Rattus norvegicus: one gene and its partners. The main gene of each other region encodes a partner of the protein of the gene in region 4 in a complex. Links are inferred from orthologs where the notes say so. Each region holds a gene or a part of one and is shown on either strand. Other genes may lie near its edges. The genes, in order: Gmnc, Cdc6, E2f1 and Ccna2.

Region 1 (4,101 bases), on a different chromosome or scaffold from region 4:
CACTCACTCCTCAAACCTCAGATATGGTCTTTCCAAATGTCCATGCAGGGCAGGCAGGCTGCCCTAAGTTGTCCAACAGCCCACTCTTAATTATGTGTCAATGTTTAATCAGGTAAAAGACATCTGTGGCAACAGAGGACAGGTTTGAACAAACTTTTTGAACACTGTCAGTCTGTTGCTGCCTTGAAGACTTTCTTAGACATAACATAAATAAAGATACCAGAAGAGAAAGCAGAAAGGAGGGAGAGGAAAGGAGGGAGAGGAGGAGGGGTGAGGAAGAGGAGGAGGAAGGAAAGGAGGAAGAAGAAGAGGAGGAGTAAGAAAATAAAACTAAGTTATCATTGAGTCTCTAGACTAACACTTGGGCTCTGCTCCCAGCGAGTGAACTTTTAGAGTACAGCTTGGGCAGCCGTTGCCTAAAGAAATGCAGCCAAAGGTTTATCAAGTGCTGTGTTCTTTTTTTCTTTCTAAAAGTATGTTTGTAGACTCTTTTCGGAGGTTATTATTGGAATCAGAGCTAAGCTATTATGCAATTGACACCCGAGAGGAAAACAAACCCCAAAGGCTCCTAAGCAGTTCCAATCTAAGTGTTTGCAAATGTGGGCATCAGCTGGAGGAACAGGTGGGGGGGAAAGAAAGTCTGTGCGGGGTGAGGGCAAATGGGTGGGGTAGGGAGGCAAATGTGCAAAGAACGGGAACAGAGAATAAAAGGGGTGCCTATTTTAATTGGAAAGTACAAAGGCATCTCCCAAAGAGGAGTATATTTGAAATGCAGTTTACTGTCTTCCAGGGCCCCCAGGTCCTGGCAGCAGACCAGTTAAGGCCAGCTCCTCACTTACCATGTCGCAGAAGAAAGCGCTGAAGATACTAGGCTCACTCAACTTTCTCTTAAAGCCAGCCTTAACTTTAAACGGGACTGCAGGGAGGAGCAAGGAGGCGAGTTCTAATCCGCCGGAGCTGCCAGTGACGCGCGCGAGGCTCCTGGCCGGCGCTGCTCTCTGATTTAGTAGGAGGCTGTCAAACAAGGTGACGTGCGTGCCTAGGGAGCCGCCCAACCTAAGCCACGGCCACTCCCGAGACACCCGCACTGGGACGTGAGATCTGCGCGTCTCCTTGCGGACGCGGAGGCAGCATCCAAGGCACGCCCGCCCGGTCAAAGCCTGTGCCTGTGTGAGCTCAGTCTACAGAGTCTACCTGGCGCGGTGGCAGCCGGCGATGGGGTCTTGGCTGCCCTGCTCGCTCTGCGCCACGCGCCCAGCAGCCGGCAGGGCGGGGCCGGGCAGGGCGGCCAGCCAGCCCCCGGAGGCATCTGAAGGCCAAACCTTGGTCTCTGCACAGCACTAAAGCCCATCCAAGGGGCCCTGGTGTGAGTGGCGCTCTGTGCATTCCCTGGTCACAGGATAACAAGTGATGGTAACTTAATAGCAGCCACTAGATTTTATTTTATTTTTTTCATATTTAATGCAAGAACCCAGTTCTTGCAAGGCTTAAATGTAAGGGGAAAATGTATAAAGTCTGGAATATATATTTTCCAAGACATCTATCATGAACCATGGCCTGCAAAAGTACTGAATAAAATTTGTTCAAACAGTGAATTAGAGTTTATAGTTAGGAATCTAAAGTGGTTTTCGCTCAGTTGGGCTGATGCACGGCACAATTATATAAAACAAAAAATATTAATATTAAGAAAAATAATGTCTGTCAATACTTCATAGCATATTTTATTTCCCTATCTTTTATTTTATCCTTATATGTATCTCTACAATGTTCAATCTAGGGATGACAGAGAAGCAATGCCTCCTTTAGGCAAACCCCAGTAGGCAACTCTCACTTGTGCTGACCATTTAAATGGACGTAAAGTAGTGGATGACTAGGGTCCAGCTCCAACAAGCCTGGGAATATCCCTAGAGGTCTCGAAGGCACCCTGACAGGCATCTGCACAACACTGTCTGTTGCTGTTCAAGTCACAGAACCAAGGAGTGGACAGTGCTCAGCAACAGATAATATACACATGAGGAAAATATATAAACCAGGGAGCCTTATTTAGCTATAAAGAATGACATTATGTCCTTTGTATAAAAAAAATGCTAGTCTTAGATACCATAATGCTAAGTGAAATAAGCCAGAGCCATAACAAATACCTTGTATATTCTTTTTTATGAAAAGAGTCTCTATTTAAAGTGCATGTATATGAGTATGTGTGTGTGTGTGTGTGTGTGTGTGTGTGTGTGTGTGTGTGTGTGTGTGTGTGTGTAAGGACCAGAGTGTGGAAGGGACAAGAGAGAGTAATGGGTGTAAATATTAGCAAAGTACATTCTGTACATGCACGATTAGGAAGCCCGATATTTTGTACAATGAATAAATGCTAATTTAGAAAAACGCTAAAGAGGTGGACAGTCAACATAGAAGCCATGTTGACTCTCAGTGTAAAAGGGAAGCCCTGGGGGTAAGAAAGTGAACACTGTTAGCACAATATGTGAGTGTCAGTCTTGGGTTTTGGACTTCAGGCTAAGCCGTCCAAACTTCATTCTACCTATCGCAAGAACATTGCATTCAACGCGCTACACACAGATGTGTGCGTAATTGGCACAGTTACGATACCAATTTGCACTTCTTTCAAATTCATAGGTTGAGGCTCTGGTGCCAGTGTTAACTAGATTTAGAGAAAGGTTACTTCAAGAACAAAGTTTAAATGTGTTCATAAGAGTAGACCTTATGCCTGGTGGTATTATCAGAAGGTAGACACACCAGGGACCTGGGATGGCACTCAAACAAAATGTCATAGCAGGACAGAGTTTACAGACATCTGTTTGGGGTTCAAGAAGGGAAAGCTCAGGAAAAAACATGTGCCCAGCAGAAACCTCGATGTTGCACTTCCAACCTCTCTGAGAGCCAGGCTTGACCTACTATAGCATGACTGCTAGGTAGCCCTGGCAAACTGATATGGACGTGACACAGAAACTGAGAACCAGAGTTTGAGTCCAGATTAAATATTTTGTTCTTTAGAGAAGAAATTAACATTTCTTTGTTCTCTTCCTCTGTCTATAATAGAATTTAGAAAAACTATGAGGTGACTAAATGGCTCAGTACCCCCACGATCAAGAAAGGTATAGAGGAGGGAGTTGAGAATGTGTCAGACTCAGTGGTATTCTTTCTCCTGCTCTGATAATATTTATTTGTAAATTTTAATGAACAAGACTACACGTGAAGATCACTGCACGGGAAATTGATGAACTGGATCACTCAATGCCAGCCCATTCCAATGTGTTCTAAGAGAAAGCAGTTCCCACTCTGCTCTGACAGTACAAAGGACAAAGTACCAAATTCATTTAGATCTTGTGAATGAGCGGTCTTGTTCCAGTCAAAGCGTTGTTCATGCATTAGTCCTGCAAACACCTAAGCTCTTTAACAAAGCCTGGTAGTTTCATAATGAGCAGCAGAGGCAGAGACGGGAGGACTGAGTAGACTTGCTTTGGGAAGTTGTTACAGATGAGAAGTGTGAGAAGTGTAAGCCTTCGCAATGAATGACACAAGGCAGGTAAGTGAGCAAATATAGCATGATAAAAAGAAAAGAAATGGCCATTGGCTTTGCATTAAAATATTTGTGGATTCCTTATCCTGAATAAACCTGTAGGTTGCTATATCAAGGTCTCTCGATTCTAGTAATCCATTTGATGGATTAGAAGAAAAATGCCTACAAGAGAGTTCAAATATGAATCATATCTGCTAATGCTCAATAATTTTCCTATTTGCTGATTAAATACTAGTAACATTTTTACTATTACTCACAGGGAGACTTCTGGCTTTGAAGACGTATAAATGTCTATTGCTCTGCAGGGTCTACTAAATTTTCTGAAGGGCATGCTGGATGTGCAAACTGGGTATTTTTTTCTTGAGGGTTAGATGTAAGTCTTAAAATTCTTTAATGTATTTTTAGAATATAAATGCTTTGGAAACAACTACTTTAGCACAGTACACATGGGCGAGCACATGGTAATATAGAATCCAAGAACACTGGAGAGCTATTCTCAGTTGAGTGCAAATCAGATCATAAATCAGATCATAAACTCTTGGTGAAGTTAAAACACAGTGGAGGTGGGT
Region 2 (4,295 bases), on a different chromosome or scaffold from region 4:
AACATTCTCACACAACCATACATGCAAGTAAAATGCCAATGTGTGGGGACACACACAAACATACATAAATATACACATAATGTTTCAGCAAAAGTGTCCATAATTCAGATTCTTAGCATACCTTGAAGTCCTGCAGAATCCGGCTTAAACAGGCAGTTTTCCCAGTTCCAGGAGCGCCAGAAAGGTAGAGACTCCCAGCTTTTTTCCCACAGATGTGCTCCTTCAGGAAATCCCTGATGACACCCATCTCCTGTTCTCTGGCAGGCAGCCGGTCCGGGACAGCTGTATTCAGGACAAGCTTTGCCTGTTGATAGCAAGTGCCTGTGCCGGAATAAAGGTCAATTAAGACACAGCCAAAGGTGACCGGGTTTCATTTGGCTCCACCAGCATAGTTCATGATGGCTAGGCTACCACATAAGGACTCACCTTCCTGCTTGAACAGTCGCATACACGCGGATTCCTTCTCTGGTGGGCATTTCTGCTCAGGATTTGTTTCGCTCTCTTGACCTCTTTGAGCGGAGGAAAGTATTTGGTGCTGGGGAACTCTGTCTTGTTCTTTTGGGGCGGAAGCCTTAACTGCCAGCTCATCATCGAATATTAATCTGCATCCCTTCCGTGTATGTGAGCGAGGGGGGCCGTTTTCCTTCCTGCCCAGCTTGGGCGGAGAACATGGAGATAAATGGGGAGTGTTGCACAGATTGTCATCACCTGAAGCACAGAGCAGAACTCACTCACTCACTGCAATGCTGTCACCCCCAAAAACACTAACTGCAGAATGTGGTCCTTCATAGGAGGACAGGAAAGAACTACAGACATCTCCCACATCCGGAAAGAGGTGGTTTCTTTCTCTGTTGAGACAGGAGACCCTGGCTATCCTGGTAACCCAGATGCCCCCGCAGTCACAAAAGATCTGTGTGCCTCTGCCTCCGGAGGACTGGAGGTGTGCACCACCACCACCACCACCGACAAGAGGTGAATTTCTACCTGAGTCAGAACCACCGAAGAAACTTCTCACCAAGGAGCAAATGTGGCCACCAGATGGCACCCCTGAATCTTATCATTTGGTAGTTCTAGTGGGGTGAAACTGTAAGGTTGTTTTAAAATAGGACTCGTCAACCTGGGCTCAAGGGACCTGACATCTCGGGGTAAAGAACTTCCCTCTCTGGGAAGCTGTTTGTGTGCATTGTTGAATGTCCAGCAGACTTGTTAGCTTTTTTTTTTTTTTTTTCTTTGGTTCTTTTTTTCGGAGCTGGGGACCGAACCCAGGGCCTTGCGCTTCCTAGGCAAGCGCTCTACCACTGAGCCAAATCCCCAACCCCAGAACATTTCTTTAAAAACAAAACAAAAAACAAAAAAAACAAAGCAAAAACAAACAAACAAACAAAAACCCACAAAAACAAAACAACAAGAACAACAAAAAAAGAGACATCAAAAAATGGAAATGATAGTTAAGTACTATTTGAAAACAAAAACAGGGCTGGAGAGATGGCTCAGACGTTAAGAGCACTGACTGCTCTTCCAGAGGTCCTGAGTTCGATTCCCAGCAACCACATGGCGGGTCACGACCATCTGAAATGGGATCTGATGCCCTCTTCTGGTGTGTCTGAGGACAGCAATAGTGCACCCACATACATGAAATAAATATATTTTTTTAAAAAAAGAAAAACAAAAATAATAAAAAAATTTAATAATCTCATCTAATTGTTTTTTTTTTCTTTCTCAAGACAGGGGTTCTCTGTGTAACTCAGGCTGTCCTGAAACTTACTCTGTGGACCAGGTTGGCCCCAAAACTCAAGAGATCCACCTGCCTCTGCCTTCTAAGTGCTGGGGTTCCAAGTGTGCTCACCACCTCCTGGCTTACTTTGTTGCTTCTTAATTTCACAAGTATGCAGGCAAATCTCACAACACTATAACTTCACGGAAAATTTAAAGGACAGAACCAAGGAAATGAAGATCAAACCTAGGTTCCTCAGCAAATGGTCCCTGTTAGTTGTCGACTTAACTGTGAAGTTCAGTACACACTTGGCAGCCATTATGGAAACAAATACAGCCCAGGATTTAGGGGACAGGCATCTCCGCACAGAGGTAAGAAAGGCTGACAGCTCAGTCATAGTCACACTCGCAGAGTGAAAGCTTACCCAAACGTTTTCGGGGACTGAGAGGCAGAATTTTTATGTCCGCACACGGAGTGGTGGGTACAGGCTGGACGTTTCTAAGTTTTACTTCACTGTCACGGGAGTTTGTCTTGCTCAGGGTCTTAGATTGCTTCTTTTTCGGAAAGTCGATGGTAGCTTGTGTCTGGGATCGGGTTTGAGGCATGATGGCCACACAACTGGATACAAAGAAGAATCAGGAAAAGCAAAGAGAAAAACACACAGAGCTTACTTTATACTGGGGACCAGGACTCCATAAGTCATGTTAACATAGCATTTTTAACATTTCCTGCCTCCGGTGCAAATCTATGTAAAAGTGTAACATCGGTCTGCCTAGTACGCGTAACATTCCGTTATACACATATTACACACTTCAGTCTTACCATACCTCAGAGGTAGAAACTATTAGCCCTCTCTTAAAGAGATAATCACAGAAAACCACGGCTATCCTGGTCATCCAGGGACCAGAACCCAAGTTCTTACACTTGAGCGATGCCAGAAGTTTATCTCCAGTAATTTCTATAATACTTCTAGTTCCTTCACTCCAGACATGCGAGACGTCTTTAGCACTAGTTTAGTTCCAGACATTTAGGCTCTCCCAAGTCCAGGCAGTGCAGCTCCGTCCTCCCCTGCACAGAACTAGCCAGCACTCCACAAAGCTCTCAACCCCACCCTACACCATTTCCTCCCAGCAGCTCTCTGCTCCTTCCCAACACTCCATGCTCGGACCGCTTCTAGAGCTCACAACGCCCTCCCTGACCCAGCCTCAGACCCCAGGCGATTTCCGCTCTCCACCGGCCTTGCTCAGACCAGCCTCAATTCTGTGGGCACCAGACCTCACGGAGCTTTGCACTCTTCAGGAATGTGTCGCTCAGTGCACGCTCCCCTGATCTCGATCAGAACCGCAAGGACTCTCCGGCCACAAGGTCCACAGCTGCTGCAAAGTCAGCTCGCGCCAAATTCGCTCCACCTCAGCGTTCTCCTCTCCCGCCAAAGCCCAGCCAGGCTTCTGATTAGTTGTCACTAATCACCACGCCTTCGCCGGTGGCAGTTGGCAGCCAATAGGGACAGCCCCAGGTCTCAGCGCCCAACACGAAGTCACACCCACTCGTCCAGGAGGGCGTTAACTTCAGAGACCTCGGAGGAAGGGCGCGCGCTTGCGACCACGCCACGCCGCAAGGCCTGGCGGGAAGTGTAGTTTTTGCTTCCACGCAGTCTACTTCCGCATTTTTATTTCTACAGGGAGATCATTGTTCCTGGTATTGCCTAACGTTCTCATTCTCCTGGGCTATCTTTGCTCCTCTTCTCTGCCAAATGTACCTATTTTCATTATTCTGGTGAGCTAGATTTTAAGGGGGCAGTCTTGTATGGCAGGAAGCAAATGAATGCATAAGGTCACAGTTTTCTGAGGGGCTGATGACTTGAACCAGGGTTTGGGGGGGCAAGTTCTAGACCTATATAAGCAAACTGACATCATCTCACTATTTGTTGACTTGCGCTTGAAAAGTGAGAAGCAAGTCCAACACCAAACGTACAATTTCAAGGTAATACATTCCAAGTGCCTTCTTAACATTAATCTATCTACACATCGTAGGGAGTAAAATTATGTCCCTTTAATTTGAAAATCTTTTATGGCCAAGCACTAGGGTTTCGGAGCCAGGGAAGACAGTTATTGGAGAGGCAAGCTGAGCATTTAATGAAAAATGTTAATTAGAGCAGTAATTTGCATGCTCTAAGGTTAATAACCCTTGGGTTCTTTTAAAGACCAGAACCCAAATCTAGGTAATGGTGAAGTTTATGGGATTTTGTTGTTTGTTTGTTTTTTGTTGCTTTCTCTTTTTTTGAGACTTTTCCCTTTTTTTGTAGCTCTGGCTGTCCTAGAACTACATAGAATAGGCTGGCCTCAAACTCAGAGATCTGTCTGGGTCTGCTTCTCAAGTGCTGGGATTAAAAGAATGCATCATACCTAGCTATAAAACATATCTTTTATCCTCCGATACCAAATAAAATAGACATAAAGCTAGGAATAGGAGAGCAACAGGACAACCATCAGTTAACTTATTTCAAATAGCTGGTAAGAGCTAATGAGTCTTTTTTTTTTTTTTTTTTTTTTTTTGGGAGCTGGGGACCGAACCCAGGGCC
Region 3 (4,334 bases), on a different chromosome or scaffold from region 4:
TTTTTTTTTTTTTCCGGAGCTGGGGACCAAACCCAGGGCCTTGTGCTTGCTAGGCAAGCGCTCTACCACTGAGCTAAATCCCCAACCCCAAGCCTGTCTTTTACAGACTTAATGTATGGTACTACATACTGTCCACAGTAAACAAGTACTACATTATAATGGAAACATCAGCTTCTTGCTGTTACCATTTTGAAACAGGGTCTTTGTAGTGCAGGCTGGCTTTGAACTCAAGACTCAGTATCCTCATTCTTGCCTGCTTGGATTATAAGATGTCAGTTAACCAAAATAGGCTGTTGGTGTTTTAATTTATTTTTATTTAACTAATTTGCTTTTTAAATTGTTTTCTTTTTAAAAAGAACTTTGTGTCCGTATGACTATATATGAACATGGGTACCCAAGGACAGGAGAAGACAATATCAAACCCCTCGAAACTGGAGTTGGTCATCTGTGACCTCAGTGTTGGGCTGTGATCAAACTTAAGTTGTCATATAGAATAGCAAGTGCTTTCAATGGCTAAACCATCTCTCCAGACCAACTTCCTTTAAGGTACAGTTTCACTCTAGGTAACCCTGGCTGGCCTTGAACATGTGGATTCTCCTGTCTCTGCTTCTCCCTAGTCAATACACCCCGATAGGATCTATAAACACACACACACACACACACACACACACACACACACACACAGACAAGGTAAAGGTAGGTAGGGCAGGAAGAATGTCTGAATTGCAGAGGTGTAGAGAGGTACACAGGAAGCACCCAGCAAGTGCTCACTGGGTGGAAGCCAAGCCTGTAGCTTATTTCAAGGACTGCCCCCCCACCCCAAATTCCAGAGCAAAGTCAGTAGAGGCCAAAATCCAGATTTGCATTCCTGGCCTTTGGCTCCAGGATGGTGTCAACCTCTCCCACAGAAAATGTTTGCTGGGCCTTAAGTACCGTGGGGGAAGGGGATCCTTAAGTACCTCTGCACCTAGCACATAATGGGGACTCACGAACTCCACAACTTGAGTGAATGCAATGTTTAGTCAAATGTAGAATATCTGCCCAGGGCCCAACCTTCTACCTACTGGTACAGGCCCGTGGAGTGGAGGGAAGGCAAGCCAGCTGACCCACCAAATACTGGCCGGCCTCCTCAGTGGGAGGAAAGGGCTTTAACAATCAGGAAATACCACTCCCTAGAAGAATGATTAAGAAGTTCCATCATTTGTGGGCTTCAGCCTCCTCATCTATGGAAGGATGAAAAAGTAAGGCTGTCCACAGGGTTAAGTGGGTAAAGTGCTTAGCACAGAGCCTGGCACCCAAAACGTCCTCAAAACAATGGTGGTTGCTATTGTTATTGTTATTAGCATCTTGGTGATTCCGGAAGGAAGGCAGCACTGGGCACTGGGCCAAAGGGGGTATGGGCCTTCTCTAAGATGCCTCTGGGACCAGCTGCCACCCGCACCCCCACCAGGAGTTGAACAGTTTCTACTCCGGTATTGGGTCTGGCCCCTCCCGCTTGCTCCAAGCCCCCTGCTGTGAACACCTCCTGCTTGCTCCACCCCTACAATAAAGTTGGTGGCCCACTGGCTGAGCTGGCCCCTGCTTAGATCCAAGTTCCACTCTCCACTTCCGCTGCCTTTTCTAGGCCCCCAGCCTAAACTGGTCTTGCTACTTAGGATCAGGAAAAGACTTTATCCAGGGATCTCCCTCCCACGTCTTCTCTCTCCAGGAACTGGAGGCCCCTTCTCAGGGGCCCAGCCCACCCAGTCTTCCAGAGTCTCAGGGGTCTGTCCGCCTGATTAATAAAGTTCCATGGCAACCAGGGGCTGGAAGGGTGGCAGATGGAAGGACAGGCAGAGGAAGGGTTGCAGCAGCTGGCCCAGCACCCCGCCCCTGCAGAGAAGGCCTCCCAATCAAGAGGCCTATCCCCAGAGGCCTGGAAGGCCAGGCCTGCACCTGGCAGAGCCACGAAGGAGGGTCTCTCGAGGATGTCTCCAACAGTCACCCTCTTTCATCTCCATCAAGCAACTGTGCGCACTAACTAGCCATAGGTTCTGCAGCAAGCCAGCCGCCATCAGTTCAAATACCAGCCCCACCATCTGCAGCTGCGTGAAGCACTTCCCTGTCTCTGGGCCTCAGTTCCTCCCTCTGGCAGATGGGCACGTGACAACACCCAGCTCACAACAGAGTTGAGAATTTTGGCCGACTTCAAGTGTGCCAAAGCCTGGGCGTGCAATAAGCAAGCACCAGCTGAATACACGTGAGCCATTATCATTAATAAACCTGCCGCTCTGGTGAAGACGCTGAGGCCCAGAGCAAGGCGCAGCAAACAGACAGGGCAAGGCAGTCAGTCAGCGCGCGCCCCGGGGCGGAGCCCCGAGGCCCAGCCCAGACTCCGCACCGCCCAGCGCTGCAGCCCGCCCCTCCCCCGCCCGCGCCTAGGGTCCGTACCGGCGGGCGGCCGAGAGCCGGGCGCGGTGCACTAGGCGCGGGTCGGGGCGCCTGCGGCGTTGCGAAGAGCAGCACGTCAGGATCTCGAGGGCCAGCGGGCGGCGCGGCGGGGCCGGTGGGGACCTGCGGGGCGCCGACATCGGGCGCGGTGGAGATGATGACGATCTGCGAGGAGTCGAGCAGCCGCAGCGCGCCCGCCCCGAGCAGGGCCTCCAGCGCCGGCGCGTGCTGGCCGCCCGCGGGGGCTACGGCCATGGCACTCACGGCCCGCGTGGCCCGGGAGGCAGGCGGCGGCGGCGGCGCGGGCCCATGACGGCAGGCCGCGGCGAGGGCTCGATCCCGCTCCGCCCCGGCCGCCGCTGCCTGCAAAGTCCGGGCCACTTTTACGCGCCAAATCCTTTTTGCCGCGAAAGAGCCACGCGCCGCCGAACGCCTCCTCCATTGGCCTGCGTGGCTGTGACGAAGTCGGCTTCGGTAGCAGACATTGGTTGCAGCGTGCGGGGCAGGCGACGGAGGGTGGGACCAGGGGCGGGGTGGCCAATCGCGGGGCGGGGCGCGCGCAGGCTTTGTCCGGGCGGTGCCGGGCGCCTTCTCCCTTCTGCCTCTCGCTGTGCCCTGCAGGGGGCGTGGGCAATGGACCCCGCCCCCTTCACCGCCCACTCGATGGGTGGCGGGGTCTGGCGAAGGCAACAAACTTCGTACTTGGTTCTGCACGTCCCGCAGTCTCCACATGCCGCATGAGCCCCTAAACTCTCAACCTGTGGTCTCCACCCCCTCAGTTTACAGTCCAGAAACTGCTTCTTCTGCACGCTCAGGCTCACCTCCAAAGTTCACTTCAGCCACATCTCCGGTCTTAAGACCCACTTATTCCATTAGTTCACATCATGGGTTCTTCCCTGTCACCCAGAAGCCAAGCCCAAGAGGGGTGCCAGGAAATGAGTAGGGATGTGTGGCTTTGATCTCAGTCTCATTTTACTGAAATTCCTTTAGTAGCCAACGCCCAGTTATCGTTCATTCGTTTGGTCAGTCCACAATGGCACCTGTCTTTAATCCCAGCACTTGGGAGGCAGAGGCGGGCGGATTTTCCAAGTTCAGGCCATTCAGGACTACACAGTGAGACCCTGTCTCAAAAAAATCACAAACGCCTGAGAGCCTGTTTATTGTCCCATACTCAACCCAGACCTTGACTCCTGACTTAGTGAAAAGGAAAAAAGGGAACCGAGAGGCAGCAGATGCTTACAATGTGAAGAGATTGAACTAAGTAACTCCACGTTAGGCCTCACAGAGGGCGGTGCAGGGGTGGGGAGGGTGCATATGGAGGGATCCTTTAATCCTGAGGTCCTCCATCAGCATTTCTGATTGCTCAGGTCAGCCCATCTGATCAGCATTGTGGTCCTCTCTGACAGGCATCTTGCCAATACTGGGAATCGAAACACGAAAGGTTTAACAAGACCTACATACTTCCTGCCCTTGCGGGTGGGGATGACCACAAGAAGAGTAGCTGACAGGGGCTGGGGATTTAGCTCAGTGGTAGAGCCCTTACCTAGGAAGCTCAAGGCCCTGGGTTCGGTCCCCAGCTCCGGAAAAAAAAAAAAAAAAAAAAAAAAACCAAAAAAAAAAAAAAAAAGAAAAGAGTAGCTGACAATATTCAAGTCCCCAAGTCCAGTGTAGGCTACAAGGAGCTCTCAAGCCCGGGTACTTTCACTATCACCTCATACTACTTTATCTTCCACGCATCGGTTAACTTTGAACCACCCAACCTTGGTCAATTTAGAATCAATCCCAGGCCGCCCCCGCCCCCCTTTTTTTTTGTTTTTTTTGGGGGGGGTAGTTTGTTTCTTTGTTTTTTCGAGGCATGGTCTCATTGTCTGGCTCTGGCTGTCCTGGAACACGCTTAAGTATGC
Region 4 (4,270 bases):
GAGTAACTAGAATTGGGTAAATGGCATATATTACCAAATGTTAGTAAAGATATCAAGTCTGTCATACCATGTTCAAACAGACTAACTATAATCTGTAAGGGACTTGGTGTTTGTTAAACAGGGTCTCATTCTGTGGGCCAGACTGGCCTGAAATTCACTCCGTAACCTAGGCTGACAATCTTGCCTTAGCCTCCTGAGTGCTATTGGGCATTAATATACTCAGCTCTAGTTTTTACCATTTAAATTATCTTGAGATAGGGGAATCTGTGTAATAATAGTTTCCATACCCTCCTCCTACCCCATCAGTAGAACTAAGTGAACTGGGGGGCTGGGAAATGGCAGTGCAGTGCCTGCTGGATAAGCATGAAGATGTGCATTGCATTCCCAGCACCACTCAAGCTAGATGTTGTGGCATTGTCTGCAACCCTAGACGGGAAGAAGAAAAAGGGTTGAAATACTCAGTTCCCTGCAGTTTGATGGCCAGGCTGTCTAGCCAAATCAGTGAGCCCCAATGAGACCTTTGATTAAGAAATGATATAGAAAAGTGATTGAAGATACCCCAAAGTCAAGTACTCTCTCTAGCCTCTACATGTACCAGCACAGGCAAGCGTAATACTCCTTCCCCTGGCACACATATAGCATAAGGTAGAAAGTGACAGATACCAACATCTCTGGTCTCCACAGTGAGATCATAGCACCGGCAGAGCTGTCTATAGCAGCTATTCTGCCTTCCATGTGTCTGACCTGCAATCTGACAAACATTTAAATTAGTTTTAAAGGAATGGCAGATATAATGCTTAAAACTGTAGGCTCAAGGAGCACTCTTAGGACTGGCATGTTAAGAAGTGAATCATACATAAAACTGAAATCTATTATCTCAGCCAAACACTTATAAAGTCATATTAAGATAGGCATTTAAGATCTAATTAAAATTGATGTAGCTTTGTCCAGCAGTGCCCTCCCTGCTGGTTAAGGATTTGAGTCCTTTTATAGGTCAGTGGATCTGTGATCCTTTCTAAGCCCACTGTAGTAATCTTAACTCACTGTGTTATGAGCAGGTAAGCATAGTCTTAAAACTCAAAAATATCAACCGCAGGACTTTTGGTGACTGCAGTCGATCAGTGCTAAAGTACAGTGGTAAAATCCGTTAGTCATGGCTATGATGAACACATTTGGAGTGAAAATTTTAAAAATGCTACGTATTTTAAATATATTTGAAACGACATTTTGATTCGTAAACTGAATGTAAATAAACCTGAAATTTGCAAAATTAAAAAAAACCTCAAAAATATCACTAACCCAATTAAGTAACTAATTTTTTAGCTTAATAACAATCTTTAGAGTATGCCAAGCAAGGTACGGATGGTGCCAGGCCTGTAATCTAGAATTTGAGAGGCTGAGGCAGGACGGTTTGAGTTCAAGGTTAGTCTGAGCTACAGATTGAGATCCTGTCTCAAAAGGTAAAGGTTTGGTGTGGTAGCACATGCCTTTAATCCCAGCAATCAGGAGGCAGAGGTAGGTGGATCTCTTATTTCAAGGCCAGCCTAGTCTTATAGAGTATGAGTTTCAGGACAGTCAAGAATACTCGAGAAACTCAGAGGGGGAAAAAAAGACAGCAAGGAGGGAAGGAAAGAAGAAACAGGGACTGGTAAAAATAAAGAGTAACCTTACCAAAACTACCATCCATTGGATAATCAAGAGGTACCAGTGGTTTTCTGGCTCCGGGTAAAGAGACAGCGGCACTAAAAGCCAGGGCATCTTCACACTGAGTTTCTTTTTGCTCAGCTGGCCTCTTCTGAGTCTCTTCAGCTTCATCCACATGAATGGTGAAGGCAGGCTGTTTACTGACTGCTTTCCATGAAGGAACAGTAGGGACGTGCTCATCGTTTATAGGAAGGTCCTTAAGAGGCGCAACCTAAAGAGAAGGAATTCTTTTTTAATACTTTGCTTCTTGCCCTGTGGGTACCAACTTTTATTTCCAAATACTCTTAAGAAAAATGTAAGTTCATGAGTCAAAGTCCAGGTAAGGTGAGTAAACCGATTTGTCACAGCCATTTCTACAAAGGCTATAAATGCAACGGATTGGAATTCCAAACTAATCAAAGACTAAAGTTAGGGGAAAGAACTGATTCACAACTTTAGCCTCAGGGTGGAGCAAAACAGCAAGTCTGGCTAAAATGGCGGAATTTACCAAGCAGAATACTTGCTTTATGTCCTTCCCTTAAGTAGTAATCTGTGAAGCAGATGGTGAGGGGGAAGGGATCTATATCCTACTGCAATGCCTGGCTTTAAAAGTGGAGGGAAAGGTACATGGCCGAAGTCGACACGCGGGGCACTGCTTGGTATGACCCTAGAATTTTTAGGAAGACCGCTCCACTAGTGCTGAAGGGCAGTATACACGGGTCCGCAGGGCTCGTGGGGCTATTTGGTACTAAAAACGCCCGGACCGCAAAGGCTGCAGCCCGACTACCCCTAGAAAGCTCAGCATGCTTTTTGGCCCTCTGGGCTGGTAAACCCAAGACCGCTTCCGCCCGGCCCTCCGACAGACCCCCGCGCCCTTTTACCCGCCGAGTCTTGAGCCTCTGCTGCGGCGCCGGTCCCCGCACCTTCCCGGCCTTCAGCACCGCCTGCGCCCGCGGCTGCTGGGCTGGCGCCACTTTTTCGGGGTTGACATTCTCCTGGTCTTCCTGCTGGGAGAGCAGGGCCGAGCCCGCCTGTCTCGAGTTGCCCGGCATTGCGGCTCCGGTCCGGATCCGTCGGCGGCAGAGCGTGCAAGGCGCCCGCCGCTCCCGGGCTGCGCGGGACCCTGGCGGCCGACGCACGGAGCAGGCGCTGCGGGAGGGAGGAGCGCAGAGCCCAAGTGCCGCGAGCCGCGCGCGGCCCGCCGGCTGTTCTTGTAGTTCAAGTAGCCCGCGACTATTGAAATGGACCAATGAGGGCGGTCGGGGCCAGTGACGTCACCAGGAGCGCCGGTCGCCGCGAGCAAAGGCCCGACGGGAATCTGGCAGGGCGGGCGCCTGAGGGACGCGCCTGCGCAGAGAAGGGCGGGGCAAGCGGCAGCCTTCCGCAACTCTCCGATCCTCTGTGGGTCTGTAACCTCCCAGGATCCTACCAGAGCAGCTGGGCGGACCAGACTAGCCCTCGGGGCCTCGGAGTGTCAGCATTCCTGTCAGCTAAGGGGTGTAGCGACTTCCCCTGGTCGCTGGGTGGCGCCTAGGCAGGACTGTATGGACTCAGCTGACTAGCCGCTCCCTTACCAGCTGACTAGCTGCTCCTCTCTCTCGGTGGTGCTGCCCATTCAACACAGGGAAACTGATATTTTTACTGTTTACTACTGCTTCGCCTCTCCTGTATATATTTTTTGTTTGTTGTTTTTGAGGCAGGGTCTCCCAGTTGTCCTGCGATTCACTGACAATCCACCCGCCTCGGTCTCATGAGTTCTGTTCTAGGACTAAAGGCATGTGTCACTATGCCTGGTATTCCAGTAAACTTTTCCTCGCCTCTAATAAAGATGGGTCAATTTAAAATGCCAACTTGAGCTATTGTTGGTACCAAGTGGTGTATTACAAGAAATTCAGATGTCCATTTATTTTGTTAATCCTTGGTTGTGACATCAAATAGTACACCATGAAGTTCCAGTGACCCAAATAGATATTACATTTAAAATGAACTGCATGAGTTCAAGTTAGTTCCAAGTCAGCTATTTAGTGAGACGATGTCTCAAGAGTAGAAAAAGTGTGCATAAGAAAACGGGGCAGCCAGGAGGCGGTGGCTAAACCTTTAATGCAGGCAACTCACCAGGCGGGTGGATCTCTTGTGAGTTCAAGGCCAGCCTGGAGGGCAGAGCTAGTTCCGGGTCAGCTACACAAAGAAATCCTGTCTTGAAAATCAAACCAAACCAAACCAAACCAAACCAAACCAAACCACCCCCACCCCCCCCACACACACACACGGAGGGAAGGAGGGAGAGAGAGGGAGGGAGAGAAATACAAAACCTTACTAAAATAAAGACCCAACTATACGTGCCTTAAATGTTCGTATTTAATATTTAAGAATTGCACATAAAATATAATAAAATGTAATTATTGTTTTCTGAAAAATTCATATTTACCCTTTGAAAACAAAAGACAGCTTATTTTCTCTTATTTTTTTAGTATTTTAAAACTTTCAATGCAATATTCCCCTGAAATGAATGACTAAAACTTCTGTTGCTTTTAAGTCTTCTTTTTTCCCTCACGTGTACAATAAGAAGGAGTTTTGTGGATACTAG

The links.
Region 1: the proteins of Ccna2 (region 4) and Gmnc are in contact, whole or in part, in a cryo-EM structure (PDB 9HIU), measured with the Homo sapiens proteins. The link is inferred for Rattus norvegicus from reciprocal best matches to the Homo sapiens genes CCNA2 and GMNC. Residues at the interface, in NP_001228.2 of Homo sapiens: Met210, Ile213, Leu214, Asp216, Trp217, Glu220, Val221, Glu224, Arg250, Leu253, Gln254, Tyr280, Ile281, Thr282, Asp283, Thr285; in NP_001140158.1 of Homo sapiens: Asn165, Ala166, Lys167, Arg168, Asn169, Leu170, Ser171, Glu173, Phe174, Ala175.
Region 2: the proteins of Ccna2 (region 4) and Cdc6 are in contact, whole or in part, in a crystal structure (PDB 2CCH), measured with the Homo sapiens proteins. The link is inferred for Rattus norvegicus from reciprocal best matches to the Homo sapiens genes CCNA2 and CDC6. Residues at the interface, in NP_001228.2 of Homo sapiens: Met210, Ile213, Leu214, Trp217, Glu220, Val221, Glu224, Tyr225, Arg250, Leu253, Gln254, Glu277, Tyr280, Ile281, Thr282, Asp283, Thr285; in NP_001245.1 of Homo sapiens: His89, Thr90, Leu91, Lys92, Gly93, Arg94, Arg95, Leu96, Val97, Phe98, Asp99, Asn100.
Region 3: the proteins of Ccna2 (region 4) and E2f1 are in contact, whole or in part, in a crystal structure (PDB 1H24), measured with the Homo sapiens proteins. The link is inferred for Rattus norvegicus from reciprocal best matches to the Homo sapiens genes CCNA2 and E2F1. Residues at the interface, in NP_001228.2 of Homo sapiens: Met210, Ile213, Leu214, Trp217, Glu220, Val221, Glu224, Arg250, Gln254, Tyr280, Ile281, Thr282, Asp283, Thr285; in NP_005216.1 of Homo sapiens: Val88, Lys89, Arg90, Arg91, Leu92, Asp93, Leu94, Glu95.

What each region holds. Positions count from the first base shown.
Region 1 is NC_086029.1:87,338,364-87,342,464, reverse strand, and holds the start of Gmnc (geminin coiled-coil domain-containing protein 1), read right to left. Parts: upstream 2,849-4,101; 5' UTR 843-2,848; coding exon 840-842; intron 1-839. UniProt on the Homo sapiens protein: Regulator of DNA replication. Promotes initiation of chromosomal DNA replication by mediating TOPBP1- and CDK2-dependent recruitment of CDC45L onto replication origins.
Region 2 is NC_086028.1:84,359,379-84,363,673, reverse strand, and holds the start of Cdc6 (cell division control protein 6 homolog), read right to left. Parts: upstream 2,810-4,295; 5' UTR 2,637-2,809; intron 2,333-2,636; 5' UTR 2,320-2,332; coding exon 2,139-2,319; intron 709-2,138; coding exon 427-708; intron 322-426; coding exon 122-321; intron 1-121. UniProt on the Homo sapiens protein: Involved in the initiation of DNA replication. Also participates in checkpoint controls that ensure DNA replication is completed before mitosis is initiated.
Region 3 is NC_086021.1:163,532,726-163,537,059, forward strand, and holds the start of E2f1 (transcription factor E2F1), read right to left. Parts: upstream 2,839-4,334; 5' UTR 2,686-2,838; coding exon 2,431-2,685; intron 1-2,430. UniProt on the Homo sapiens protein: Transcription activator that binds DNA cooperatively with DP proteins through the E2 recognition site, 5'-TTTC[CG]CGC-3' found in the promoter region of a number of genes whose products are involved in cell cycle regulation or in DNA replication.
Region 4 is NC_086020.1:121,358,861-121,363,130, forward strand, and holds the start of Ccna2 (cyclin-A2), read right to left. Parts: upstream 2,837-4,270; 5' UTR 2,736-2,836; coding exon 2,565-2,735; intron 1,916-2,564; coding exon 1,672-1,915; intron 752-1,671; coding exon of another isoform or gene 664-751; intron 1-663. UniProt on the Homo sapiens protein: Cyclin which controls both the G1/S and the G2/M transition phases of the cell cycle. Functions through the formation of specific serine/threonine protein kinase holoenzyme complexes with the cyclin-dependent protein kinases CDK1 or CDK2.